Rhinolophus ferrumequinum: one gene and its partners. The protein of the gene in region 3 interacts with the protein of the main gene of each other region in a pairwise test. Links are inferred from orthologs where the notes say so. Each region holds a gene or a part of one and is shown on either strand. Other genes may lie near its edges.

What was found.
Region 1: the proteins of CDK6 (region 3) and CCND3 interact in binary tests that used the Homo sapiens proteins (3 or more experiments, as listed by UniProt). The link is inferred for Rhinolophus ferrumequinum from reciprocal best matches to the Homo sapiens genes CDK6 and CCND3.
Region 2: the proteins of CDK6 (region 3) and CDKN2B interact in binary tests that used the Homo sapiens proteins (3 or more experiments, as listed by UniProt). The link is inferred for Rhinolophus ferrumequinum from reciprocal best matches to the Homo sapiens genes CDK6 and CDKN2B.
Region 4: the proteins of CDK6 (region 3) and CCND2 interact in a two-hybrid assay, tested with the Homo sapiens proteins (2 studies listed by BioGRID, with this or other methods). The link is inferred for Rhinolophus ferrumequinum from reciprocal best matches to the Homo sapiens genes CDK6 and CCND2.

What each region holds. Positions count from the first base shown.
Region 1 is NC_046286.1:11,637,987-11,645,489, forward strand, and holds the start of CCND3 (G1/S-specific cyclin-D3), read right to left. Parts: upstream 3,012-7,503; 5' UTR 2,857-3,011; coding exon 2,659-2,856; intron 1,803-2,658; coding exon 1,587-1,802; intron 1-1,586. UniProt on the Homo sapiens protein: Regulatory component of the cyclin D3-CDK4 (DC) complex that phosphorylates and inhibits members of the retinoblastoma (RB) protein family including RB1 and regulates the cell-cycle during G(1)/S transition.
Region 2 is NC_046295.1:18,101,844-18,109,528, forward strand, and holds the start of CDKN2B (cyclin-dependent kinase 4 inhibitor B), read left to right. Parts: upstream 1-4,669; 5' UTR 4,670-5,137; coding exon 5,138-5,293; intron 5,294-7,685. UniProt on the Homo sapiens protein: Interacts strongly with CDK4 and CDK6. Potent inhibitor. Potential effector of TGF-beta induced cell cycle arrest.
Region 3 is NC_046303.1:33,410,693-33,418,005, reverse strand, and holds the start of CDK6 (cyclin-dependent kinase 6), read right to left. Parts: upstream 3,001-7,313; 5' UTR 1,619-3,000; intron 1,072-1,618; exon of another isoform or gene 1,007-1,071; intron 938-1,006; exon of another isoform or gene 542-937; intron 282-541; exon of another isoform or gene 132-281; intron 1-131. UniProt on the Homo sapiens protein: Serine/threonine-protein kinase involved in the control of the cell cycle and differentiation; promotes G1/S transition. Phosphorylates pRB/RB1 and NPM1.
Region 4 is NC_046293.1:86,595,887-86,602,960, reverse strand, and holds the start of CCND2 (G1/S-specific cyclin-D2), read left to right. Parts: upstream 1-4,067; 5' UTR 4,068-4,340; coding exon 4,341-4,535; intron 4,536-6,312; coding exon 6,313-6,528; intron 6,529-7,074. UniProt on the Homo sapiens protein: Regulatory component of the cyclin D2-CDK4 (DC) complex that phosphorylates and inhibits members of the retinoblastoma (RB) protein family including RB1 and regulates the cell-cycle during G(1)/S transition.

The DNA of each region.
Region 1 (7,503 bases), on a different chromosome or scaffold from region 3:
GTCCACCTGGGCTAGCCAGAAGACCCAGATTCTCCTCATCTACTTCAGTGCAATGCTGAGGCTGGACACTTCCCTCCTCTGGGCCTCAATCTTCTCTGCTGCACAAGGACTTGGACTGACTGGAGTTCTCTGAGGTCCCTTCCAACTCTGACCTTCTAGGAAGCCATCTGCACACTCCACCCCCAGCTCAGGCAAGAGTGGGGGGAAGAGTGCTTTTTGCCTGTTCTGAAAAAACACCACACACACAAAGACACACACACCATCCCAATCTTTTCACAAAAAGGAAGTCCCCTTCTACCTTCCAGCCCAAACCCCTCCAAAAACATCGTGCTTGCTGGCCCTGGAAACCAGTTCCACCTTCAGACTTGCCAAAAACTACCAGATTCATCACAAAGAGCCGTGGGGCCTCCCGGATTCCCATCTCCGGCCTCCTACTCCCATCTCTGAGAGCTACTTGGCAGGAAGAGGAATCCTGTTCCTCAACAAGCAGCAGTCAGGGGCCCCAGTACCCTGGCTTCCTGGCCAGCCAATCACAGCAGCCTGCATGCTGCCCTCCTCCCCGGGAAATGGGGCCCAGACTCCTCTCAGGGTCAGGAGAAGACTTGGCCGCACAGAGCAAGGTTGAGGAAGGTGCCAGCTCCCCCAGCCTCTCCCCCAGACCCCCCGGGAGACGACCCACATGCCCTAAATAACCTAGATCCCAGCAGCGCCCCCACCTCCTCTCCAGGCTTTGGGAAAAGAACCGGTGACTCTCCTGCCGCCTCGGAAGAGCCCAGCCCAAGTTCCCAGCAAGAGGCCCAGGAAGCCACTTCCCAAACCACAGGAGTGACAGCAGCTCTCCACAGGGTTATGAAAGACCTTGGTCAGAGTGGGCGGGCCAGGGGAGGGGGCATCATTATCACATCGGAAGCAGCTGCGGCTCAGCTCCCAGTCCGTCCCTCAGCTCTGGCCTTTGGCTAAGGGGGAAAGGGAGAGATGATTCCACCAGGCCTGAAGCAGCTGCTCAAGTTGCTCAGAATGAGGATTAGGAAGGAGCTGTGTCTTCTGGGATATAAAAGGAAGGAAAGAAGGTGGGATGAAACTCCTTGGCCCTTCCTTAGAGCAATCAGGGCCGGGCTTTAATCGGCTCTGGGAGGCTTTTCAATCACAAAGTCCACATGGGGATAAAGACTCACCCAAGGCAGCCCCCCTCCCCCACTGAAGCACATTCCACTCCCCCACTCCAGTGGGGGAGTGCAGGCATGTCTTTCTGCTGCCAATAAATAACTCATGGTGGTTGTGTAAACCCAGAGGCAAAGTACTAGTGAGTGCAGACATGCAGTTTGACTTGTTGCTATCTGGGGGAAAGACCAGGAAGCAGTGGCACCCCCTGGAGGTCAGGAGAAGGGGAGTTAATTCATACTGGCAGCTTAAGCCTGGGTTGGGGCTACCCTAACCATCACACGCACTGCCCCATGTTTGCCTAATACATAGCCTCTTCGGTCCACGCGCCCTCCCCATGGGGCAGAAAGCCTCTGAGGTCTTAGCTTTCCTTTGCCGGTAAGTGAGGAGAGGTGGTATGTGTTGGGGGTGGGTTATGCACGCACCCGCAGCTGGCGGGGAGAGACAGCATGGTCGGTGTAGATGCACAATTTTTCGATGGTTAGGGGCGTAGTCTCGCGTAGCTTGGAGGCCAGCAGCATGCAGACCGCACCCAGGAGTTGCAACTGTGCCTTGTGGGTGGGGACACAGGACAGGTAGCGATCCAGGTAGTTCATGGCCAGGGGGAAGACTTCCTCCTCACAGCGCTGCTCCTCACACACCTGGGGAGAGGACGCACAGTCACTTCTGGGGCAGGGGCGTGGGAAACGCAGCAGCACTAAAAGTGAAAGGGGGCGCTGAAGGAAGTGGGACGGGAACAAAAATGCATGAAGGAGTAAATGTGCTTACAGTGACAAGGACTAATGCGGAGGGGGATGCGCCTTCCCCAAGGTGACGGCCCCACTTCCTCTGCGTTGCCTCCTTCCCCTTCCCGGGGGAAGGGGTCCGCCAGAGGCTCCCTTACTTAAGGATTCCACACTGAGACTCCCCTCCCCCATGGAAGGGTGCGGAAGAGTCACCCACGGTAGCCAGAGAGCTGGGACCTAACTATTACCACCACCCACTGCACACACCCAAAAGGAAGGGAGGAGACTCCTGCCGCTGCCTCCCGCACTTTTCATTTCCCAGACCGCCGGAACAGCGCGCGCGCCACCCCCACCGCCTTCCCCGCCAGAACCCCGCGACAGACACAGGAACCCGCTCTGCGGCGGCCGAGTCCAGGGTTTCCCAGGCGCGCGCTCTCCTAAGAAGACAGGGCGGGGGGCGGGGGGGAAGCAAGAGACTCTAGAGAAGCCAGAAGGGAGAAGGTGGCCCCTGTCCCGCTTTCCCGACCCGAAAAGAGGGTTAGTTAGGGTGCCAAACCACTGGCAGGCGGAGTCGGGGTTAGGGAAGGGAAAGGGACACCACGTTGGTAGCCGGCTAGGGTGCCCGAGTGAAAGGCCAGGCCCGGGGCTCTGGGCCACCGAAGCATCTTGCTGATTGTTGTTGAGACCAGGATGTCCCAACAGGGCGGCCCCGGGATGTCCGGAGCCGAGGACGCAGGGACGGCGGGGGAGGGGAGACCCGTCCGGGCGGTACCTCCAGCATCCAGTACGCCAGCATCTTCCGCATGTGCGGCTTGATCTCCTTCTGCACGCACTGGAAGTAGGAGGCGCGGGGCACGTAGCGCTCCTCCAAGCGGAGCAGGCTCTGCAGGACACGCTGGTCCCCCAACAGCCGTGGGTCGGGCCCGGCCCGGGGAGCGTGCCGGGTGCCCTCGCAGCATAGCAGCTCCATACTTGGGCAGCGCACGGGCAGGACTGGAGTGCGGGCTCGCGAGCCAGAGCCGAGGCGGCGGGCCGGAGAGCGCGGGTCTGGTGCTGGCGCTGGCACTGCGCAGTGGAGCCCCGACCCGCCCGCGTCGGCGCGCTTGCAGCTTCCCTGACAGGCGCCCCGCCCCTTCGAGACGATGTAGCAACCGCGGAATGCTCGAACGTCACAACGTTCCAAGGGGCGGGGCCGCCGGCGCCCCAGACGGAAAGGGCTGGCTGGCGCCCCCCTCCTCCCTGGCTGCCGCATTGGTCGGCGGGGCGCCCGCCTGAAGGCTTCCGGGCTCCCGGAGCCCTCCTGACCACCCGGTGGAGGGAACTTTCTTGGAGGTGGTCCCCTCCCGCACCATCGAGCCTTCCCATTTTGTTTCTCTGACATTAGTTGCCCAGGAAAGAACTTTTCTCCAAAGGTTATTCATTCATTCGTCAAACCCTACTTCACCAGCTGCTTGCTCTGGGGAATATAAATACTGATAAAATAACTAGTTCTTAGTGAACACTGTTCTGAGCACTTAATGCGCAATAACTTATTAAATCCAAACAAAAACTCAATGAGTTAGGTATTATACTTATTTTGCAGATAAGGAAACTGAAGCACACTAACAGTCTGTGGCAGAGCTAGTCTGGCTCAAGAATCTGTGCTCTACCCCATTGCTACACATTATCACTGTGATCTCAAAGCCAACACCCTCTGCATCGCCTAAGACCCGGTTAGAAATGCAGACTCTCCGGCCCACGCCTGACCTGCGGGATCAAAATCTACATTTCAACAAGACCCCCTGTGACTCCTGTGCACATTAAAGTATGAGAAGGCCTGATCAAAATCAGCACATTACAGAAACACAACAGGGTGGAGAGGCCATAGATTCCAGGCCTCATCTTGTCATTAAGTCTGCCTTGTGGCCTTGGACAAGCCCTGAAGTCGGCCTTAAGCTTCAGTTTGAGGAAAAAGGGGGCGGAGAAACTGGATCCTCTGTGAAGGAGTTTCTTGCTCAGATTCCATAAAATCTTCCAATTGCCATTTCTCCTACCTCCCAAACTTTGGGTTACTTTGTAGTTTCCCCAAAGCTGGATTCCACGTGACCCCGAGGCCGACCACAGGCCTCCAGTAATGCTCCCAAATGGGAGGAGGCCTTGGGAATTCCTGCCTCTCATCAAGAGGTCCTTCTGAGGGAAAGGACACTAAGCAAGGGAGTTACTGAAGAAATAATATTGTATAGCAGAGGCAAGGTCTATGCTAAACAGTTTGTCAATTAATTGTTCTTTTTATATAACAAATTTTATTGTAGTTGTAATATCATGGAAATATTTATTTGTATTGTAGACAACTAAGAAAACACAGATAAAAAAACAGAAACTGACTCAAATACAGAGAACATTTTGATGGCTGCCAGATGGGAGGGGGTTAAGGGATTAAGAAGTACAAATTGATAGTTATAAAAATAGTCATGGAGATGTAAAGTACAGCATAAGAAATATAGTCAACATGTAATAATTATGTATGGTGTCAGATGAGTACCAGATTTATCTGGGTGATCACTTTATAAATTATATAAATATCTAGTTGGTATATTGTACACCTGAAACTAATATAATGTATGTTAACTGTAATTGAAAAAAATTTTAAATTATTTTAAAAAATAAAAGCCACAAAAAGAAAAATAATAATTACTTGCAATTTCACCATCCAGAGATAATCCTTTAAAATGTCAATATTTATTTTTCTAAAATTGTTCTATGAATAAACACATATTTTAAAATGAGATCATCATAAACTGTTTTTGTAAGCATTTTTCTCACTAAAACAGTATTTACTGTAACACTTTTCCATGTCATTTTTCTACATTATTTTTAATGGCAACATAGGATGCCATTGGGTGAATATATCATATACATATTACCAAATATGTGTTGTTGGAAATTTAAGTTATTTCTAGTTCTTCCCTATTAGAAACAATACTGTGAAATATTTTTGTGGTAATATTTTTGTATGCACTCATGATTATTTCTAGAAGTGAATTATTTCTACAAGTGGAATTTCTCAGTCTGGAGTTATGAAACATACTAAGGCTTCTTTTAGATTTTTAAAATTTATTTTTCAGTTGTAGTTGGCATGCAGTGTTATATTAGTTTCAGGTGTACAACATAGTGATTATAGACATTTATAGTTACAAAGTGATCACCCTGATAAGTCTAGTACCCATCCGGCACCATACATAGTGATTACAATACTATTGACTATATTCCTTATGCTGTATTTTACATCCATGTGACTATTTTTATAACTGACAATTTGTACTTCTTAATCTCTTTTACCTTTTTAACCCATCCCTCCAACCCTGCTCCCATCTGGCCACCATCAATTTGTTCTCTGTATCTGTGAGTTTCATTCTAAGGCTTTTGATGTAGTTATTACTAAATTTTGCTATTGAAAGACTAAACCAATCTAATGAATAAACATTAGATATCTATTTTTAAAAACCCTCTGCCAACTGGGAAGATGAAAAGTAGTTTATTAGTTATAATATACCAGGGATGCCAAAAATATGTATACATATGACTTGCATTAATCTTTTGTTATCAGTATATATTATTACAATTTTAATACAGTTTTTTTCCTTTCTTAAAATGTGTATACATTTTTTTTGGCACCCTCTGTGTGTGTATGTGTGTGTGTATCTTTTTTAATTCAAGAGCTCTTATTGTGCCAGAATTAATGTGTACCATGTACCTCATTTAATCTTAAAGTCCTTTTCTCCTTCCTATGGTCCGAAATATGAATATGAAGTTTCTTTAGTTAAATAATCATACCATTGCACTCTTTCAATAAATAGAAAAACATATTTCAAAATGTTAAAGAACAGATGTGAAGTTATGGGGAGACAAAGATGTTGAAGTTTAAGAGGTTTTTAGGGTGCAGAGGACTAAAAATGTAGCTTTTGAAATGAGTACATAACCAGAAACCAGATCTTTCCTAATGGAAGGTGTTCCTTTATTTTCAGAATTATTGAGTAGGACTGTTCAGGTTAGAAGGTTGTTTATCTTTGATGAGAGGGTAAACCATCATTATATATTTTTATTTTTTCCCCAGTTTTATTGAGGTGTAATTGACATACACATAAACTGAATTAGCTCAGGATGCACAACATAATGACTTAATATATATACATATTGCAAAATAATTACAATAAGTTCAGTTAATATCTATTACATAATTACATTTTTTTGTTGTGATGAGAATTTTTAAGATCTACTCTTTTAGCAACTTTCAAATATGCAATACAGAACCATTAACTATCGTCACCATGTTGTACATTACATTCCCAGACCTTATTTATCTTATAACTTATTTATGTTATAACTTATTTATCTTATAAAGATTGTATCTTTTAACCACCTTCACCTATTTCACCCTCCCCTTACCCCCCACCTCTGACAACCACCAAAATGTTCTGTTTCTCTCAGTAAGGATTTTTAGATTCCACATATAAGTGAGATCATACAGTATCTGTCTTCCTCTGTCTGAATTATTTCATTTAGTATAATGCCCTCAAGTTTCATCCATGTTGTTGCAAATGTAAAAATGTCCTTTTTTATGGCCGAATAATATTCCATTGTATAGATATACCTACTTTTCTTTATGGAGAAAGCAAACTGGAGAGATGAAAAGTAGTTTACTAGTAATGATATTTTGACACATTATTAGACATTTACATTTCTTATGTAAATTAATTACCTATTTCATACTCTTTGCCCATTCTTTTACACAAATGTTTGTTTTTCTTATTGATTTCTAAGTGCTCGATTACATTTTAAGAATATCCTTTTTCATATTTTTTCTTTGTCATATATTTTATACATTTTTTTTTTTTAGTTCACTATTTGCCTTTCTTTTTTGTTTTTAAACTTTTATTTATTTAAGTGTGTTTTTCCAGGACCCATCAGCACCAAGTCACGTAGTTGTTTCAATCTAGTTGTGGAGGGCGCAGCTCACAGTGGCCCATGTGGGGATTGAACCGGCAACCTTGTTGTTAAGAGCACCGTGCTCTAACCATCTGAGCTAACCAACTGCCCCACTATTTGCCTTTCATTTTTGGTTCATGGTAGAATTATTTTTTTAACAAATAGAAAGTTTTTATTTTTATGTAGCATTATTTTCTCTAATGATTTCTTCCTTTGAACCATGCCTTCCCCACTGTAAAATTATACAATTACTAGAAGAAAATGTAAGAAATACTTATATTTTAAAAGCAGATTTCTGGGCTCTGCTTCAGGGCTTTTCTTTCTTCAAGTCTATGAGGAGACCCCCAAAATTATGCATTGTCAAGAATACATACAATAAAGGTTTTCCTTTTTAATGCGTTGCCTTCAGTGTGTGACACACTTCACATTTATTCAGTGTGTCATATTAAGTGGGGCTCTAGCCTTATTTTTCCCCAATTATCATCCACTATATCCCATGGAACTGATTTAACAATCTGTTCTTTATTTCACTCATTTCCCTGCTATAAGCATCCCTTGGCCTGGTTCTTGCATCTTAGATGATGTCTTATTTTGGTCATTTTTCACTGAGAACTGGACCTCAAAAATCCTGCCACTTTTGTCTAAGGAACCT
Region 2 (7,685 bases), on a different chromosome or scaffold from region 3:
ATTAAATATGTATTTATTTAAATATTTATGTTAACTACAATCTTCAAAAACATTAAGATAAAGCAAAACTCTCAAGTTGTTGATCTTTTCAGCATAATCTTCAGGCAATGAAGCTCCCATCAACTATCTCTACTTTGAGAAAATGGTTTCTGGTAACTCATCCTCTCACATATCAATGGCTTCTAGAATCATAGAAAGAGAGACAACCAGGTTACATGCCTCTTTGGTGAACATTTATAATGCTACCTATGAAGTATTTTTGCCAAAATATAAAACCTGAATCACATCGAGACTCTACATCTAAATAATAAATTACAAGAAATACTGGTGACCAAGAAAAATATTAAATGTCATCATGCAGAAGCATTCTGCAAAGTCCAGACTTCAGAAAACTACAGAACTAGCAATTCAATTCCTGCAATAAATAAATTGAAAGAAAAGGTGGGGGGAAGGAAAAATAGAGGGAAACCTATAGATGAAAAGAGATAGAAGAGACTGGTATCAATTTCAACCAATTTCAATGTGTTGATCTTATGTTTGGCTTTATTCAAATAAATAAATTATTAATAACAGTTTAAAATAAATGAAAAGTGATATGGGTGAAAATTAGAGGAGACTGTTATGGAATGAACTGTGTACTCCCCCCAAAAAATTCATATGTTAAATCTTTAAACCTCAGTATCTCAGAATGTGACTATATTTGAAGTATGGCATTTAAAGAGGTGATTAACTTAAAATAAGGCTGTTGGGGTGGGCCCTAACACTGACTAGTGTCTTTATAAAAGAAAATTTGGACACACCAAAGAGATACCAGGGGTTTGAGCGCACACAGGATGACCATGTAAAGAAGCAGCTGGAGAGTGACCATGTGAAAGCCAAGGAGAAAGGCCTCAGGAGAAACCAAAACTGTAAGAAAATAAATTTTAGTTGTTAAGCCACCCAATTTGTGGTATTTTGTCATTACAGTCTTAAGAATCCAATACAGATACTGAAATGATGACTATGTCCACCATTATATTAATCTTAAGAAACACAAATGGAAGGAGATACATTGTGGATCCTGGAGCAATAAACCTCAACTGATGAAATAGAGAGAGTCAAGCCTCCTGGTGGGAGATGGGTCACATACAGTTTGAAAAACCTTCAAAAGCGATTCTGAATTTTCTTCTCTCCCCACTTAGAAACACTGTCTTGAATCCAAACATATACAAGTTATGTCAGTACTTCTTTTGGTCATTTGACTGATTCTATTCACATTTTTATAGTGAGTTCATATATAGTTTCACCAACTAAAATATAAACATTATCACTAGGGATCTGCATTATTTGTAATATTGGAACTGACTCTACTCATTCCCTTTTATTTACATCCAAAATGCTATGCCAATTTACTGTTTACTTTCTCTCTCTTCTTGCTTATAAATTGTCTACCCTATTAAAAAGCATTGCTGTGACAATTCCAAGTTTCAGCTCCCCACTATGTTCTCATCCATTCCATCTCTTAAATGTGTTTAAAGCATTAACAACAGGTTGCGTTTCATCCTAGAGACAGCTGGGTTTCAGGGAGAGGTAAAATGTTTCATTATCTTACTCTATTGTCCAAGACAAATGTGCTATTGTATTACATGTGAAATGTCATCTTTGAAGTCTATTAAGGGTGTGCTGTGAGGTGAGCCATCTGGAAAACACAGTGTAGACTGGAAAATAATTATAAGCCAGTTTATTGCACTTTTTTTCCAGTTAAGCTTACCATGACAGCTGCTAAAAATACTATGTAGTGTAAAGGCTAGATGCTCCAAAGCTACACAGGTTAGACCCTACCTCCAACAATGATTAGTTACTATGCAAGTTAGTAACTAATGATCCTTTAGTCAGTAAAATTGAGGTACTAATGCATGTTGCATAGGGGTTTTATGAGGGTTAAATGAAATAACACTCATAAAGCACTTGCAACAGAGTAGACAATAAGTGTAATTTCTCTTCTTTTAAATATAGAGGATAGTTAATATTCTTTACGTTGAGAATATTAGATCATCCAATAATATTGGGAAGCCAGGTTGAGCAGGATGGTTTTGTAAAGAAGTCCGTTGAGCTTCTATGTGTTTTCCTTTGAATTTCAGGGGAGAAGAGGCTTTGGAAGATCAAGTCTGATGCTTCCTCAGGAATTCTCAATCTGGAATGGATTAGGACCACCCAGATGCGTTTAGCAGGGAAGCGCTGTCCGTGGTGCTAGTCATCGCGCGTACCCCTGACAACACTTCCCCCGCCCAAAATTCTTTTCCAGCCAACTGGTTTTGCGAATCTCATATATCTGTGTTGTGGAAGAGTCTCGGTCACTCTGCCCATTGGCTTTTTCCCTATCTTACCACTCTTTATCTACGTCTCCTTCAACAAAAAACAATTATCTTCCATCTCCTTATCAAATCCAAATAGTTTGTGTTTTTTGTTTTGTTTTTTTCAGACACTTTAGCCATGCCTACCACTAAAGAAGGTGGCTCAAACATTGGCTCAGGCTATCTTTTCCTAACTTTTTTGTTGAGTTTCAGAGAAATCCAAGGTGAGAACACAGGAAACAGTTAATTTACAATGCATTCTTTAGAAACTCTCTTCAGCTGGCAATTCCTCTAAGAAACTTTCCTTGCACCTCCATCGAGAGTTAAGTTCCCCCTTCCTTACTCCCCAAGTACCCTGTAGACACATCTCTCAGTAAAGTTGTCACATTAAATTGAAATTTTTTTATTTCCTAGTTTTGAGTGCCATTAGGGAGAGTTTCTTAAAAGCTAGGACCTATATCTTATTCAACTGTAGATTCCTGGAATATAGGACATGATGAACTAAATTAATTACTGGATCCATTAGAAGGAAGGTCCCAACGACCCTCCTTTAAAAGGCAATCTGCCTTGTTACATTTGGCTGTGCACTAAATTTCAGAGTAGTCAGGCTGTTCTCATAAAGATATTCTGGACTGAGCTCATTTGCCATCTCTTCCACCTGTATCAGTCTGATGACTCAGCCCCTGAGAGTGACTACCAAAGAAAAAATACCATCCATTTCAAAGACTCTGCCTTCCTGCTGTCCATCTTTCCTCTTCTTTCTCCCACCCTACCTACATACCTATAATCCCCGATACACTGCGTGGGGACGAGTCCCAAGAACTAGACAAAAACAGCCCATTGATGCTTTTCACTCAAAAGTAAACTTCTATTTCTCCAACCAGATCAAAGAAAGGAGCCACCATCAACAAACAAAAGGACAATTTGTTTTTCCAGGTAAAAGTAGAGGCTCAAATAAGTGTGAAAGGTAGAACAATTAAGAAACTGAAAACTAAGAAATTGGGGTGGGGTGAGAGAGAAAAAAATGTTATTAATGCTCCCACCTTCTCTTCCCCACCCAAGTAGATTTCCACTCTGCTGAGGATCATTCAATATATCTTGAGCTCTAACCACCGCTTCATGTCCCTCCCCCAGTCTTTGAAGAGCTCTTCCTCATTCTACAGTGGTTTGAGTCCTAGCTAAGCCATGCTAGAAAAAACAGATGGAGTCTCTCATTTGTGAATCAGCAAGCAATTGCCCTCCCTTTAAGATTGTCTTGCTCCTTGGCATTCTGAACCGAAAAATGATGTTGTAAATAAGAACTGTTCAGTGTTAGGAAAGACCCACTTTCATGTAGTTCCTCACCAATGTTTTTAGGCAACAGATACATAACTTGTGGTTTTCTTCCTATTTCAATCAAGCATCAGCTATAATTTTTTAAATCTTTAAAGCAATGCATATGTTAATTCAAACTCACCTTGGAAGATTAGGAAGAAAAGAAAAGCACTTGTCCTTTAAATCTTCAGAAGAAGATTTAATGACAGGTTCAGCCTGTTTAATGATAGGCCCAGCACCACACCCCTGTTTTATTACGTTTCATTATTACTGTATAAATTTCCTTTATTACGCATGACGAATAAAAATCAAATACTTGCTGAGGTGGGTTTAAATAGGTAAGAGTGCAAACAAAAATGAACTGTCCAAATATCATGAAACTGGAATCTCAGATTCTTAAAATATGTATTTTAAGTATCTTACATGTACCAGGTTGCCATTGTCAATCTCAGAGTAGTTCTTTTTTTTTTTTTTTTTATGATTGTATCCACAACTCAAAAACGAAAAGAATAAAAACCAAATGCAAGACAGGATTCTCAGAATTTTTCACTGAAACTGATTTTTGGCTGACTCAAATAGGAAGACACACTCAAAAGAAAATTGCTAAGGTTGATGCCAGATGTGAAGCTATGAAGTTCAAGTATTGCCTGGGGATGAATTTAACCTGCATGACAGGTGCAGAGCTGTCACTTTCAGACATCTTAAGAAAGAGTTATTTTAAACGTCTTTCTCTCAGCCATTTGATTCCACAGGGAGCGACTAACGTTTCCAGCGTGAAACCAGAGAGCCGGAGGCTGAAGGAATGAAAATCCTCTACTCCGCCTGCTGGAAGGAGGGGCTGAATACACTGATTCAACGTTTCCAAAAACTTAGCCAAGGCTTCGCTGGACACCGGGAGAGCGGCGCAGTGGCCTCTGCCCTCCCGGAGTCTGGCGCATGCGTCCCAGCGTGGTCTGAGCTGGCTCCCCCCGCCCCTACGTTCGTCATCTGGAGCGTCATCGGCGGGTCCGGCCTCCCAGCCCGCACAGTGGGACGCGAGCGAGCCGGCTGGCGGGACAGCGGGCGGAGCCTAAGGGGGTGGGGAGAGGCCAGCCCGGCCGCCCAGCTGGAAACCGTTTCATTCCTGGCCGGCTCTTCTCTTGGCCAGAGCGAAGCTCCGCAGGGAGGCAGGACGCTCCAACGCGCCCGCACTCTGAGGCCGGAGCGGCTTTGCGCTCAGCCGCGGCCGCACCAGCCGCCTTTCCTGGGAACGAGCCGCGAGCATCCGCTGATTCGCGGGCGCCGGGAAAAACCCGGCTTTACGACCGGTCGCTTGGCCATCTCACGCGCCCGCGAGGCACAGAAGGACCGCGAAAGGGGACTGACGCTGAGCTGAGCTCTCCTGCGGGGGAGAAAGGCGCCCCGGAGAAGAGGGGAGGGAGGGAGCAGTGTCGCGAAGCTCAAGGCCAGCGGTGGATCATCCCGGCCAGTTGGCGTCTGGGGGCTGCGAAATGCGGGAGGAGGACAAGGGCCTGGTCGGTGGTGGCGACGGTGATGCGGGCCTGGCCAGCGCCGCGGCGCGGGGGCAAGTGGAAATCGTGCGGCAGCTCCTGGAAGCCGGTGCGGATCCCAACAGAGTCAACTGCTTCGGGAGGCGCCCGATCCAGGTAGCTGGGGCCCCGGGGCCTGGCCGGCAGGGGGCGCACGAATGAGGGAGGGTGGCCTCCGTGGGACGCGTCAGGGACCTAGGTCTCCACTGTGTCTCTCAAGAAAGGGAATGAAAAACCCACTGCTTCAGTTTGGTATTCTTTTTAATCCTGGAAAAAATATCAATATTTTTTTCTCCCTTCTCATGATCAGAGATGAAAGGTATAGATTCAATTAGGGAGGGAAGGGCAAAGGGAACGTTTATTTGGGGGAGAACTGCTTTGTATGTCTTTCAGCGATAGAGATAAATTACAGGTTACACATGCTGGATTGGATTTAAGGAAGCATGCAAAAATCATAGCACAGGGGGAAAAAATGCACCGTGAACTTTTAAGCTGGGATGTGAAATTCTTTGTATTCTTTCTTTATGGAGGCCAACTAAATACAAAGGACCCAAAACAGGATTCTGCAACCACAGTACTTAATTCCTTTTACGTTAGCAGTGTCTCTTGAGTGTTACATAAGAAAAATGCTTCTATGGATTTGTACTGTTTAATTATCATACTGAATACTTGGATTACAACAGCATTCCCGCAGCAACTGTCAGGTCCCTTTTAAATAGAAGAGTCTTCATAAATAATTAGCTTCTTCACTGTTAAAATGTGTTTATTCAATATGTTTAACGATTAATACCGTTTTAATTAGCACTGATATATTTTTAAGTCTTTTAAAATCTAAAGTAATGTTTTTGTGCTATACTGTTGACTATTATGGTCATATTTATATAGTATATATTATAATAGTATTCACCTCACATCACCTTCCAGAACCAAGCTTTTATTAAGGAACCTTGTTAATAGTGTAGATTTTAAAGGAAAAAAATGTGTTATTCCTTTTGAATTCTTAGAAAAGTGTTAGAAATAAGGGATAGTTTAAAGCGATGACAATATGGTAAAGTAGTTCTTAAAGGCTTAAAATTATATTAATAATGTAAAGAGAGGTTTTATTTATAGTTTTAACTTAACATTTCCTGAGATATTAAGAACCACTTTTTTCCCTCTTCTCTACATGGGAAATAGCCTTTATATCACTAGTAGAAATGAGAACATATGGTTTTAAAGGGAGAAATGGATGTTTCTAATGTTCTTGAAGCTATATATATATATATATATATATATACACATATATATACACACACATATATATATATGTACATATATATGTTATCTTTCAATCGCATGGTACATTGTATTTTTATTTTTCAATTACAGTTGACATTCAGTATTATTTTGTATTAGTTTCAAGCATGGTACATTTTAAAACACAAAGTCACAAGAACAGATAACTCCATTTTGGACATTTAGTTATCAAAAATTGTTTTATTGTTAAAATAAGAAAGTAAATGCTTGTATAATGTACATGCATACAAATGGATGCTTATAGGATTACTACTCAAAACATCCTTTTTCTAAGTTATGCATTGTTCTGATTCAATTGCTAACACATAAGCTCTTTTTTTTCCAAGTCAAGTTGTCCTTTCGATCTTAATTGTGGAGAGTGCCGTTCAGCTTCAAGTTGTTGTCATTTCAGTCTTAGTTTTGGAGGGCGCAGCTCAGCTCCAGGTCCAGTTGCCGTTGCTAGTTGCAGGGGGCACAGCCCACCATCCCTTGCAGGAGTCGAGGAATCAAACTGGCAACCTTGTGGTTGAGAGGACACACTCCAACCAACTGGGCCATCTGGGAGGCAGCCCAGCTCAAGGTGCTGTGTTCAATCTTAGTTGCAGGGGGCAGCGCCCACCATCCTTTGTGGGACTTGAGGAGTTGAACCAGCAACCTTGTGGTTGAGAGCCCACTGGTCCATGTGGGAATCGAACCGGCAGCCTTCGGAGTTAGGAGTACGGAGCTCCAACCGTCTGAGCCACGGGGCCAGCCCAAGCTTTTTTTATATAGCAAAATATTTACTATTTAACATTATAAAATCCTAGCACATTATAAAATCCTATGCAATGTAAATATAGTGTTTATTTTACGTTACATTTTCACCCTCTAAACTTTAGCACTTCTCTATAACATTTACTTAAATACTTTAAATGGTGAACCAGTTATTAAAAACAAATAATTTGCTTTCATCATCTTATAAAACGACTATTTTTCCCTTTATCCCCAATTTTGGGTCAAATTGTCAGACTGTATTCTATTTATGAACACAGACATACTCATATATAACTGAAAAGCAAAAGCTTTCCACAGGGGATTTACTACGACAGCTAAATAAAGTAAAGCTTATTTTAAATTCAGTTGTTTCTTGTTTTCTCCTCTAAAGCATATATGACTGTCTAATATTTTTAGACCCAGATTATGGTGATGGGGGAGGGCAAAGGAAATAATTTAAGACTTTAAAAGCCTTTAAACT
Region 3 (7,313 bases):
TCACCTTCCCTCCCCATTCATTTGCAATCTAGGACCCAGGAATCCGCCAACCCACGGCCGCCCCGCGGCCTCGGCGGGACGTTAGCCACGCCGGCCGCGTGTCCGGAATTCCCGGGGCACTTCGGAATTACCTGCCCCATAACCGCTGGCCCGCTCGCCTTCTTCCAGGAATTAAAGAAACAAATGGCGCGACCCTCACGGTGTGAGGGCGGAAGGGACCACAGCGAGGACAGACACCCTCACACTCAATCCATTCAAAACTCTCCTTAAAAGGTGAAGGTGAATCCAGGCGGGGGCCGAAGAACGAGCCCCCAGAGCCTGCCCGGGGGGTCTGAGCCAGGCCGAGGGCCACACAGGTAGCGGAGGAGCCACCGCCAGTAGCGCAGCCCCGTCGGCGTACCCGCGCCCCTCCTCCCCTCCAGCCCCAGGCTCTGCAGCGAAGGAAACGTCGCCGACGTCCCACCCCCGCAGGGAACTGCGCCCGCTGCCCCCGCCCGGCCCCGCACAGCCCGCCCAGGCTCTCCCCCCTCGCTCCCGCGACCTTCGGCTCCGGCGGAGAGAAACGGGAGCAGCAGTGCCTTCCCCCCACCCTTCACTTTTTTTTGTTGTTGTTGTTGTTGCTTTCCCACGCTGGCTGAATGTGACTTGACCCCATTTCAAAAAAGTTTGACATAGTGCTTCAACATTTCCGCATTCCTCTGCGACTACAAAGACTACAGCCGCCTCCTTCTGCTTTCTGTCTCTGCTCTCTGTCTTCACACTCAATGAAATGCTTCATGTGCCTCTCCCGAAGCCTGCCAAGCACCGCAAGGGTCGCCACCAGCGCAGCGACAAGAGGCCGCACCGGCGACCAGGGCTCCCGCGTGTGCGCACACGCAGATGCGCCCACGTGCACACTGGCCGGCGCGCTGTGGGGCGGGAGCTGCTCACTGCGGGGTGTGTTTTAACTCCGATATTTTAAATTATAAAAGTAAACTGGGAAACTAAAGCAAACGTGAGTCCTTACCGGGCTCCAAACCTGGGCACTGGCAGCCTGCGTGCACTCTTCTAAGTGTGCATAACATGCCCGCAGGGGTTGCCAGCAAGGAGCCTGCGTTAACACTTATCTCGTATCTCGTGGTGGGAAGGTGGAGCCCACACCCACACCCACATCTCAGCGAGCTGGAGAGGGAGCTCTCGTGGGGAAATCAAGATGGGGCACGGAAACACGATCTCCCGCACTAAGTCCCCCCATTTTCAACCCTAAATGTGGATCACTGTGTGAGTGTCCGAGTGGAGTTTAAATTCTGTTTGAAGAAACTGGATAAGGAGTGCTTGCTTAAGTAGGTGGTTGTGCGCAGGTTGTGAGGGAGCAGGCTCAGGATCTCTGTGTTGGGGGTGTCCCTAGTGTGGTATGTCCTCTTGCCAGATTAGGAAAAACTCCTTTAGCTCCCCCACACTGGCCCCCGTAACTGCCCCGCCTCGGTTCGTAAGGGGTTAACCTACGCGGATTCCGAGGACATACCCCACAATAGTCTACCCACACCTACACCCTCGCTTCCGACCCTAGCCAAGCCCCCCAATCTCCCCGGGGACCCCCCACCCCGCAGCCCACCCACCCGAGTGCACAGCTCCTCACCTGAGGGGCCTGGCCTCGTCCAGCCTCCGGAGGGGGCTGCAAGTGTCAGTCTGATGTCCGCACGTGTCCAGCGCGGCGCGGAGAAGGTAACCCGGTTGGAGGAAGGAGTCACCAGCTCTCTCTCCCGCAAGGGGGTGGGCACAGCGGCGGAGGGCGGAGGGACCGCGGAGGGCGCCGCCCGCACGGTTCGCTGGGAGACAGTACGGCCGCGGGGCTCTGGCCGAGGCTCGGGGCAGAGCCGGGGAGGCAGCAAGGGGCGGGGGCGGAGGCCCGGGAGACCTACTCTGCTCGAGACCCACCCTGCGGCGGGGTTGGGGACTCGCGGTGCAGTAGCAAGCAAGTGTGCAAATTAAAGCCTTCCGGAGACAGGGGAGGCGGCCGAGACCCGGCTGTGCTCTGAGCCTCCCAGCTCCCCAGCTCTCGGCTCCAACTGGGGGGCGAGTCGGAGGTGGGGGAGTTAAATGAAAATTTCCGGCTTTCACTGCGATTGGAGTGGGGGTTCTTGCGACTAAAACAAGAGGCGTGAGAGGGAGAGTGGGATGAGACGTCGGGAGTCGGCAGAGTTTCCAAACCCAGGGTCGCCCACAGTTGGGGTTTTGACAGAGTGAGGCGGGGGTATCAGCAGTCTGTGATGTGGACGGATGGGAAAAACACAAAACAACCAACAATAATTATGAGAGGCCGGTGGGGATGGTAAATACCCACACTTTCCAAGAAACTGAGAAATCAGACCGAAAAATAACTTTTCTCTATTAAAAAAAAAAAGTTTGGCAGGACGCCTTGCAGAAAATACTAATCTGTCCAAGCACTTTTCACTTTCTACATGAGCTACATTTGTTTTGTTTTCCTTCGCTTCCTTTCGGCCTCACAAAGCCCTATCTTTTCCTTTTGGACAGAGGATATGATTTGGAAATTGTCAGGCACTCTTGTGGTTAACGATCTACTTGAAGGGGCTGGCGGGTTCACAATTATTAAGTGGTTAGCAACTGCTGAGGGTTTGGGGAGCTAAAAAGACTAAAATTCAGTGTAAATAACAGAACAGCAAGATAATAGACACACACAAAGAGAAGAGAAAGTGATTCGGTGGGTGCTCAGTTTAAATGCATTATTGGAATTCTGAAATTTGAAACCTTGTAAGAATTTATACTTTACCTGCTGAGAAAACCTGAATACAATTATTTCAGGTGAAAATGAGATTTTGGAAGGAAAAAAAAGTTTCCAAGAGTTTTTACCATAGGGTAAAACAAAACTTAAAATTAACTGTTTTTTGGAAAGAATTCAGTTTTGTCCAAAAATCTGTATCTGTAGAATACTTGAAACCATTTTAACATCTTAAACCCAAGCTAAAAAAAATTATTTCAGTGCTCTGTGGAAAAATTAAAACCCAGCAAAATTCTGTTTAAATTGGAAATATTACCTCTATAAATCTTTTGACTTTTTGAACTAAACCATGTTGCTAATTTCACACTAGATCAAAATTTTGCCTTTATAAAATTGATTTCTATACTACAGTGTGAAGTGGCAGGTTAAGTAACTAAAAATTGTTGCATTTCCATTAGCAAATATTTTGCAATGTATTCTAATAATTTTTTCTTAAATAATGAAAGTGAAGAATTGTGTTTCTGTGTGCTTAATATAATTCATAAAATACATTTTGTGTTTAGGGGCATGTCTTCTAAAATAAAATCCAATTTCAGAACAAAATTTGTACTTGTAAAGATATCTATGATCTCATATATCTTCTAGACTTAAGAAAGCAAATTGTTGGATTTTGTATTTATATAAAATATTGGATCACTACAAATCATGAATTAGACTTTAAACCCAAGACACAAATGACAATCCTCCATTTTAATAATTACACTTATCAATGCTTTTAAAATCTTAAAACAAGATTTATTTGCTGGTAATCAACACATTTATGTAATTCAGAAATAATTGTCAATCAATAGTCAGAGGACCCAGTAAATGATTGTAAAAATTTATTTGAGTACATAATTTGTTTAAAAAATATTAAGCTGTAAATATCTTTAAAATTAACAGAAAAATGTCTTTTCTATACTGCATTGCATTTTTAATTACTTAATTTGACAACAACCATAGGTGAATTAGAAATTCCATAATTTAGGTTACTAGATCACTTAGGCAATGTAAAAAACAATGAAACTTTCATTACATATGTTAATACTGAGTGTTAACTCTCTTTATATCATCTGCTTTCTTTGATATTGTTAATTTATCATTGTTCACTCTCCCTGGTTATGGTTCACATTGATACCTGGTTGCTTAAATCTTCAGACCAGGAAGTTTTACAATGGATTTTATAAAATTAGCAAATACCAGATTGTTTTTGTTTATGGACAACTTCCTCTGTGGATAACAGGTTATCATAACAAAATCTGTGCAAAGTTTATAAACTGTGAACCAAATTCCGACTCTTTTGTTTAGGAATCTTCGATGAATGAAAACATAGCATTTAAGAATAAATAATGATTTGCACCAGTATTTTCACACCACACATCAGATATTCTAAAGTTGCAAATCATCTTACAGGTTTTTAAAAATTAGAACTCATGGATTTATCTCCAAATATGATGTTGTAGCTTACACTGAAAGTTTTCTTAAGTGTCACAGAAAAGATATATTCCATGTGTGAATATTTTATATCATATATCTGTAAATTTTTGTTTTCACTAAAATAAAAAAATCTCTTTAATTATGGTCTATAATTTATAACCTCATTTAAGAAATGAGTAATTTATTTAAAATTAGTAATTATATAATTAATGTACATCTAATTCTAAGTGATCTCTGACTTATATTAGCTATTTGAATTTATAAAATACATTTCCCAGAAATTCAGAAGTGAGATTTTGCTTAATCTACTACATAATAGTTTTAATTGGAGGTCCATGTAAATGTATACTTTTTGTCTATAAATCTCTCCTGTTTGTTGTTTTGATAAAAAACCTTTTCTGGTTTAATAACTGTGAAATCAGTTACCCTTGTTTTAAACTTGATTTTTATGTCTATGTAAATATACTTTGTTAAGTAATTACCACGAAAAACTATAATTTTAACAGAAATAGCAATTTATAATTCAGTGCATTTTAATGCATTCTTTTTTTTCCCCAGGCATTTCCAAGGTGTTTTCTTGGGTTTTCCCTTAAAATGTAACATTGAAAATTTGCTAATATTCTAGGAAAAATCAATTGTATTACCAACTTTTGCAACTGTAAAATTATGAACTTGAAATGACTTTTTAAGTTCAATCTTCTAAATAAATTACTTGGCATCAATTTGGAAATGACCTGGGCTTTTTTGGTTTTGTTTTTGCATGTGATCTAGTGCATTGCATTTGAGCAGTGAAACTTGAAAAGATTTTGATTCTTGCTGTGAGGGAAAAAAATATATGGGGTAGTAGCTTATAAAATTTAAGGGAAAAAAAACAGACATTATTATCTTTTGGAACATTCCGTTTTTATGGATTCTACAGCTCTATAATTATCCCTGGGCTACATGTCAGTACTATGTTCATATTTGTATAATTGTCATCATCTTTCCTATTTTTTTGCCTTTTGACAGACACTTACATCTTCTTTTTTCCTTTGTGTGTGTGTACATGTGTGTGAATATGTTCTTGGCTATTGTGACATGTTTGAAATGTGTTCTTAAGATCCTTTCATTATCTATATTAGAATTCTGAGTAATCAGAAGAATAACTATGGAAATACACTTATAAAAGTTAGTGATAATCACATGGAAATATCTACATTTCCTCTACATTTAGAATGTCCTGTAATTTTTTTTACTGACTTCTAACATTTCTTTTCTAAGATAATAAATACTTGCATCTCAGCTGCACACATGGCCTAACAATTGTGTTGCCATAGTTGCCTTTGGTTGACCTTAAAACATATGTACATGTTTTAGATAGATCATTCAGATGAAGTAGTAGAGGTACAACACAGTGGGCATGAATGATGATAAAGTGGGATCTGGGAGGGTGGGAGGAAGTACAAAGAAAGGCACCTGGGACAAACTTCTATTAATGGCCTGGCAGCAGGTAAAAGTGAAGAAAGCACATGTTAATGTCTCGGGCCAAGAGATGTTCCCCAGTGCTCTACGTATGGCGTATCTAGGCAACTTGAATCTTTCAGAATGAACAGCATTCTATGTCTATCCTATTATGAAATGAAATCTATCTTACTGAATGCGATTGTATAATGTATGCATCCATATACATGTAACTATTTTATGTTGTCTCATAATGGATTTTCCCTGAAAATACACATAATGGAATTCTTTGCAGAATTCTTTTTTTTAAATTAAATTTTATTGGGGTGACAATTGTTAGTAAAGTTACATAGATATCAGGTGTACAACTCTGTAATACATCATCTACTGTGTTTCCCCGAAAATAAGTCCTAGCCGGACCATCAGCTGTAATGCTCTCTTTTGGAGCGAAAATTAATATAAGACCCGGTATTATGTTATGTTATGTATGTTATGTTATGTTATGTTATGTTATGTTATGTTATGTTGTCATACAAGACCTGGTCTTATATAATAGTAAAATAAGACCGGGTCTTATATTAATTTTTGCTCCAAAAGATGCATTAGAGCTGATGGTTCGTCTAAGCCTTATTTTCGGGGAAATATGGTATATATTGCAGAATTCTTTAAATGCCTAGAAGAAAGTAGATAATAGAATAGCTCCGTGGATCAAACATTTTACCATAAATTGAAGAGAGGGTCCAATTTTTAAACCCTACTATAAACTTGTTCCAAGTTACTCATAACTTCTTATATCCAGTATCTAGCACAGCAGCTGTCAAGTATTTTATGTCCAATAACTGTTTGTCAATGGGAAAATTGGCTTTGTACCTTATTGTCCGTCTTCTTTGGGACTACTTCTTTCAATTTCCTTGAAGGGGTCATGTTAAAGTAATGTTTAATATAATCCCAGCAAAGGTTTAGGATCAGTGTGCTGATTTCAGTACCGCAGAAACGTGTCTTCTCTACCTGCAGTTCCCTTTCCCTTCAGCCTTCTAAATCCTATCATTTCAAGGCCGAGCTCCTCCTAAAACCTCGATTCCCTCAGCAGAAAGGCATTCCTCTTTGCTCTAACTCCTTGAAGTCATCTGCTCTCTTTAGCCTTCCTAAAAGCTTGATGCTCTGCTACCCACCACCCTGAGCTCCCCCAAGGGCGTCCACAGTGCCTTGCTCCCTGTGACAATGCTATGTATGCCATGTGGCCATAGTAGGTGGTCAGTAAAGGCAGCAGAGGGTCCTGTTTCTCTCCATGAGTGTTACTGAGTCAAGCAGACACAGAACAGAATAATGTGACATCACTAGAATAACATCTGAAAAGTTGAGAACGGTGTTCCAATTTGCTTACATGGGAAAAAAACAAACAAAAAAAACAACAAATAGGTCATCCTGCTACTTTGTGTGGATTTGTTATATTTTCTCTTGTGTTGCAGGTATTAGTTATTGAAAAAATTTTTGTCTAAAAGAAAATATGTTTGGATGAATTTCTAAATTTGCCGGAAAGACAAATTCTCAAATCTCATCTGAAAAAAAACGTGTTTAGATAATTTTCTCCACTTCCTATCCCCGAAAATTTCAACTAAATGATTTTTCTTTAAAAAGAGCAAATACTAAACTCTGAGGTAAATTAAATACTATATAG
Region 4 (7,074 bases), on a different chromosome or scaffold from region 3:
TCCAAGGGAGGGGCGTAAGATGCTAGGTGGGTGAACAGACGGCAGGCGCAGTTCTTCCTAACCCACGCCTATCGCATCTGCCGCCCCAGGCACACAGCCCCGGCGCAAGCTGCAGCGCGCCGCAGGGGCAGTCTGAATGCGCAGGCCAGGCCGGCCTGTGCCCCCGGCTGGAGCCCCAGGACGGGCGGGGGGGGCGGCGGCGAGAGGGCCCCGGAAGCTTATTCACACCTGGAATCGCAATGCCCAGGCTTCTGGGAGACTCCTGTCGGCTTGTTCCTACCCACTCCCGTTCCCTGTGTTCTCCAGTTGCCGATCTTTCCTTTTCCTTTCGCACATTTTTCTAGTTTGCTCTTATTCCCTTCCTATTGACCCCCAATTCCTCTTTCTGTACCTCCTTCTGTTCCTTTCTGATATTCCGGGAGCTCGCAGCCAAGACTGGGACACTTAGACATCCACTTTCAAGTAACTGTCGGGTTTTCGGTTTTGGTTGTCTGACCATTCATCCCTCAGTGGAGAAACATATACATAGTTCTACGCTTTGGAGGATGTAGGGGGAGGGCAATGGCCCCCATTCCTGAGCCTAAACTCACTCCCCTCCCCCAACACGGCCTGAGTGCTGGGACGCGGAGGGAGCCGGGCTCGAACTCGCGCGGCTCCAAGGTTTGGAGCCGACGGCGCGATCACCTGGCTGGCCGGCATCCGCCAGGTGAGCTTGGGAGTATGTATGCTTAGCGTTGCAGGTTCTTGCAGAAATGTACCTATAAACACACAACACCCGGCTGCACCCTGCACCTACAGGGTTTTGTACACTTTCCAACCGAAACTCCAGAACGCGGGGAGTAGGGGTGGGGAGCCGGCAAAGGAGGGAATAAAAGTCCAATAAAACTTGCGTTCGCTCAAGTTTATCACTGATCCTACAAAGGACAGGATAGTGTGGGGTGTTTTTTTTGCCTTGAGGGGTGCAAAGGGGATAAGAAAGAACTAACAGTCTTCTTTCTCCCTTCTCCCCCCCCCCCCAACAATGACCAGTTTTGACTTAAAAGCCAGAGCACAGGCTCTTCTTGGTTTTTCTCCATACCTAAGTCTACTCTCAAAGAAAACGCGCACTTTTGCCCAGAAGGCAACGTGCGTTTACCCGCGTGGCTCCGGGAGTGCTTTTTACCCAGCAAAATTAAGGATTTAACACACAGTCGGAGTGGCGACCGAAAGGGAAAACTCGGTTCCCAGTCCAAATCTCCCAGAGACATTCCTGCCAACCTCCGCACCCTTTCGCTCCCCACCCCGCGTGTTGGAGACTGAAACACGACTGGGGGACCGATTCGTGGCGAAGTTGATGTTCGGGAGCATTCCGTAATAGGAAGGGGAAGTGAACGGGGGAACTTGCAAAGGCCAGCCTGCCACGCGGGAAGCGTCCGAACTCGCGGATCTGGGTAAATTGAGACAGGGACATCCGCCCGCTCCCCTCCCCTACGCCGGCACCTCTGCCCCCCAACCCGCCGGAATTTCTCCGCGAAGCCTGACGGGGGTAAGGGTAGGAGTGGAAGGGGCTAGAGGGCCAGGGACTTGAGCGTTCGCCACCCAGGCTTTCTTCCCAGGGTGGGCGAGGCCCCGAGGACGACCACCCGCCTCTTCCCCGCCCTCCTCTCCCCTCGAGGAGACCCAGGGCTGGGGATGCTTTCCCTGCAGGGAGGTGGAGAGGAGACCGCGCTCGATTAGTTATCAAGTGATGTCAAGAGGCTGGAAGCCCTCGCCGGCTCTGTCCTTGCCTGTCGGGGTAGATTTATACTTTAAAAACACCTCTCCCCCCTAACCCCCCAGCAGCTTGCTTTGATCCATTCAAAGGTGGCTGAGGTGAAGTTTGAGTGATTCTTTTATGGGGGTCTTAAAATGTAACAATGTATTTACCCGCAGTGACTCAAAAGCTTGAGTCGGGAAGTCTGAGTAAAATCAATAGGTGATTGTCAGGGACCGACTCTATTCCGAGGAACACCGTACTCAGCTGGAGTGTCATCACTTTTGAGTTTGTCATCGCCGAGTGTTTCATTTTGAGTTTGCAACTTGGGTTTTTCAGTGAGCTTTTTTCCTTCCCGAAAGCTAATGGCTTCTACAGCAATTAGACATTTTCCTCGCCCGCCCCTTCCCTCCCCTTTCTATACAGGAGATTGGACACTAATTCCCGCGGCTATTGATAAGGTCGGAGGCGCCCGGCCGCTCCCCAGCCTCGCCCGCGGGTCCCTGTTCTCCCTCCGCCCAGCCTAGGCTTCCTTTTGATGTAGCGGGGAACACTACCAACTGAAAAAAAAAAAAAAAAAAAAAAAAAAAAAAACCCAACAAAAAAAAAAAACCAGAAAAAAAAAGAAAAGAAAAAAAAGTAATCTGCCCGGTAACAATCAGCGCGCAGTAGCAGGAGCCCCAGAGCCATTGGCTATGCAAATAGAGGGAGGGGAGACGGCGCCCCAAACTCTTACTCACCCTTTTAAAGCGATATCCCCTCCCCCCACCCCTTCCGCCCCACCCTCGTTTAAAGGGGCTGGCCCCCGGGCCTGAGTTAATCGCTAGCACCTCTGGTTTATTCACTGCCCGCCTTGTCTATTCCACCTCCCCCCTCCTTTCAAGGGAACAGAGTGAGCAGCTCACTCAGCCCGCGCCTCCCCCGCCCCGCTTGCTCTCGGGCCCCCTTTTTCGGAGAAGGAGGCACTCTGCGGACCTCGGTGTGTCCAGAGCCCGGACCCACGCCATGCTCACTGCACGTGTCAGCTCCACCAACACGCGGGGGTTCTGGGCTCACTCCCCTTCCTCCCAAAGTGAAATAATTCTGAAAGGCAGGGTGGGGGGGTGGCGGGAGGAAGGAGGTAAGGAAACGCCACCATATCCCCTGTGAAAGCAGCCTTGACCCGAGGATGCATTTGAGCACGTGTCATAGCCAACTGCGCGGGCAGCGTCTCCACCGCAGTCCCGCTCCGGGGGAGAAAGCCTGGCTGGCAAGTGAGGCGTGAACCCAGAGGGGTCGGCGAGGATGCAGGCGAAGGACCGGGGGGTGGAATTCAGGGGCCTTGGGGTAAAGGAAGGAGTGGTGTTGTTTGCGCAGGGGGGGTGAGGGGGAGCCAAACCTAATCCCTCCTTCGCCCCCCTCCCCTCCCCCTCCAGGGCTATTTCCTAGAAAGCTGTATCAGTGGCCACGCTCGCGGCAGACACCTCGGGCGGCTTGTCAGCAGATGCAGGGGCGAGGAAGCGGGTTTTTCCTGCGTGGCCGCTGGCCGCGAAGGAACCGCTGGCAGCCCTGCCCCCGGCCGCTGCAGCTCAGGGCGCCTCGCCTTGTCTCCCAATGGCGCCGTAGCGCCCCCAAGTACAGGACGGTTCTGCTCAGGGTCACATTCTACCACGTCGGAGAAGCCGCCCCCTCCCTCCTATCGCCCTCCCTTTCCTCGCCACACACTCTGCGGAGCGGGGGGGCGGTGTAGGGGGGACATTGTTCTGGTTCCTTTGATTGGGCTTTTGAAACAGCTTTGAAATGATCAGGAACATAAATATCAGGAACACAACCTTTATATCTGGGTATGCGAGGTTGCAATTTTCTAAAATCGCCCTCCTTGTTTTTCACTGAAGGGATCTATTTCTAAATTGTCTGAGCCCACCCCATCAAGTATTCTACCCATCATTCCTGAATCTTCAATACGTGGGCAGGAGTGATAGGATGGGTTTTGAAGAAGCCAAAGTTGGAGGGTCGTATTTTGGCACGATACATTACAGAGTGCGAAATTAGAGGGAATAAGTAGGAATCGGTGGGTTTTTTGTGGGTTCCCCTATCAGGGGCCCCTGGCATGCGGGGCTGGATGGAGGGAGAGGGCCTCGGAGAGCTAAGGAGAAGGGTGGGGGGGCGGGGGACCGCGTTTGAAGTTAGGTCGGGCCAGCTGCTGTTCTCCTTAATAACAAGAGGGGAAAGGAGGGAGGGAGGGAGAGATTGAAAGGAGGGGAGGCACAGGAGGGGAGGAAAGGGGGAGGAGGAACCAGAGAAGGGAGCGGGGCGAGAGGGAGGAGAACTGCCCAGCCAGTTTGCGTCACTGCCTCGGAGAGCAGAAGAGGAGAGGGAGCTGGGGAGAACGAGACAAGTTTGGAGGGGAGGGCAGGCAGAGTCGGCAGCCCCCGAGGCTCTCCTCTCCCACCGCCCATCCCTTTCCTCTCTTCTCCCCCAGCTCCTCTCTCTGCCCTAAACTTCCCCCCCCCCCCGAAAACCCCTATTAGCCAAAGGAAGGAGGTAAGGGGAACTCTCTCTCCTCCTTCCTCCCAAAAAACTTTTCCATTCCGGAGAGAGCAGGGACCGAGTGGGCACCCGGCTGGCCATGGAGCTGCTGTGCTGCGAGGTGGACCGGGTCCGCAGGGCCGTGCCGGACGCCAACCTGCTCTACGACGACCGCGTTTTGCAGAACTTGCTCACCATCGAGGAGCGCTACCTTCCCCAGTGCTCCTACTTCAAATGCGTGCAGAAGGACATCCAGCCCTACATGCGCAGGATGGTGGCTACCTGGATGCTGGAGGTAGGTCAGCAGACTGACGCTCGGTCTGTCCCCACCCGCATTCTCGGCCCCCACTCACGTAGGGACCCTAAAACTGAGGGAGGACAGCCTCCGCGCCCGCCTCCCGGCTCCCGTGTGCGAGGTTACCTCGCGCTCTTTGGCGAGACGCGTGGCTGCTTTTCTGTTCTTTGCAGGATGCGAGATTAACTGGGGGAGGGGAAGAGGAGGGAAGAGGAAAATCTGGGAGAAACGAGGCTGTCCTGGGGCGGGGGTGGGGGAGCATCCCGAGCGCGTGTGCCCGCATGTGGCTGCCTCTTCTTCCCACCCCCATCCCGACCTGCCCTCTGCGAAGCCCGGGTTGCTTTCTGTGCAGTGAAGAAGGGAGTAGGACCGTGAAATCGGTACCCAGAAGTAAAAGGCAGCCTCCCCAAAAGCCAGAACAAATTCGTCCTAGCCTCAGGTTCCCGCATGTGGTCGCGACTCCGCGTTGGCACTAAGGGGGGAGGGGGAAGGAGGAGGGAGGAGGAGAGAAACGGGGAATTCAGGAGCCCCGGAAGTCACATTGAAGAAATGTGTGTTTTAGGAGAACCCAAAAGAAATACTTCTTTACCCTTGCTCCAAATCTTTGCCGAGAGCAAGCCGTGTGCCCACGTATGCACAGCTCTGGACCTGCCGCGGTTTCGCCATGTTGCTTTGCAAAACTCTGGTTGGAAAGGCTGGAAAACGTCGCCCGCTCCCCTTCGCACCCCATTATCTCGGCCACCCCACTTCTAATAGTGCCCTCTCCCCCAACCCCCACTTCACAATGGTTACTTACAGTTTGGCTTTCCAGTTTCCTCGGTGCGGAGATTTGGGTGGGGTAGGAAGGGGGGGAGGAGGTGTGTGTAGGGGGAATATCGGGGCACCCCTAAAGGAGAGATCAGAGCCCCCGTGCCTCTCTCCGGCGGCTCCCGGGTCCTCATCTTTCCCTCAGCTCGTCACCACGTCCCCTAGTTTTCTGCCCTTGTGGGCCGCAGCCGGACACTCCCGCCGCGGCGCTCACCCCTCCAAGTTTCCCCTCGGGATCTAAAGCCCCAGGGGTCAAGATACAGACCTTTCTGGCACCCGAAACCTCCGTTTCGGGAAGCCTGGATCCTCCTTGGGGTTTTCACGCCAAAAGGGCTTTTCTAGGATATTTCCTCGATTTTTAATTATTTTTTGAAACCGTCCCCCCTTGCTCCGACTCCAGCCGCCGCGGCTGCGGCGCTCTTCCTCCTCTGCGCCCTCCCCCTCCCTTCTCCACCTCTCCCCACCCACCCCCCCAATAGCGGCGCCTGGGCCGCAGGGACCCCCCCGGACATTTTTTCTAATTGTCGGGAATGATAGAGCAGAGTCTGGGGGTCCGGATGGGGCCAAGAAGGAGACCCTCGGAGCTTCCAGAATATTTTTATTGATTTTTTGAAAAGATGACGAAATCCAAAAAAGAGAGTGAGTGAGTTAGAGTGAGCGAAAAAATGAGTAGGCAAAGGGAGCGGCGTGGGGCTGCGCTGCTACTGCGCATTTCTTTGCCTCTCGGTTTTGGATCTTTAATTCACCTCTTATTTTAGTTTCCTGGGGAATAAATACCACTAAACAGAGAAGCTATTTAGATTTACCCCAATTTCCTCATCTTTATTCTTACCACATATTCTACTCCCCTCCCCCTCCCTATAAAAATTAAATATTTTTATTTCCATAGATTGTGCTTTTTCACTTTTTTCTCTTTTCCTGATACTATTTTCTCTCCCTCCCCCCCCCCCAACTCTTTCCCACATTGTAGGTCTGTGAGGAACAGAAGTGTGAGGAGGAGGTCTTCCCTTTGGCCATGAATTACCTGGACCGCTTCTTGGCTGGGGTTCCGACTCCCAAGACCCACCTGCAGCTCCTGGGTGCTGTCTGCATGTTCCTGGCCTCCAAACTCAAGGAGACCATCCCTCTGACTGCAGAGAAATTGTGCATTTACACCGACAACTCCATCAAGCCTCAGGAGCTGCTGGTAACGACTGTCCCCTTTCTGCCTTTCATCTTGTCTCTCTTCACGCTGTCTCCTGGCCTCTTCTGCTTTTACCCACTGCTCTCCAAACAAATTCTTGGGATGCAAAATTACCCACCACTGGAATTTTCACATTTGTGGGAGATATCTCTTTTAAACTGAGGTTTTTTGTGTGTGTTCCTACTGTGTGCCAGACACTATGCTAAGAAGTACTGACTGAGGCTACATCCACGAATGAATAAGCTCTTCATGGAGATAACATTTTAATAAAATTGCAAATTTTCCATCACTGAATTCTGAGAAAACAGTTCCACTTTCCACATGACAGGAATGTGTTCACATGATAGGAATGTGTTGTGGTGTGTCCCCTAAGAACCCGGAGGTCAAAGGTAGTGACTTACATATTTATAAAGTCTAAAGATACCTGCACGTAGATAGCCATTCACTAAAGATCAGCTCACTGACTTTTGCACAAAGTCAAAATGTGGCCCTCATTGGAGGAAGCTGAGGCTTGGACTCCTGCCTCCAGTGGGGCTGTGACCTCTGTAC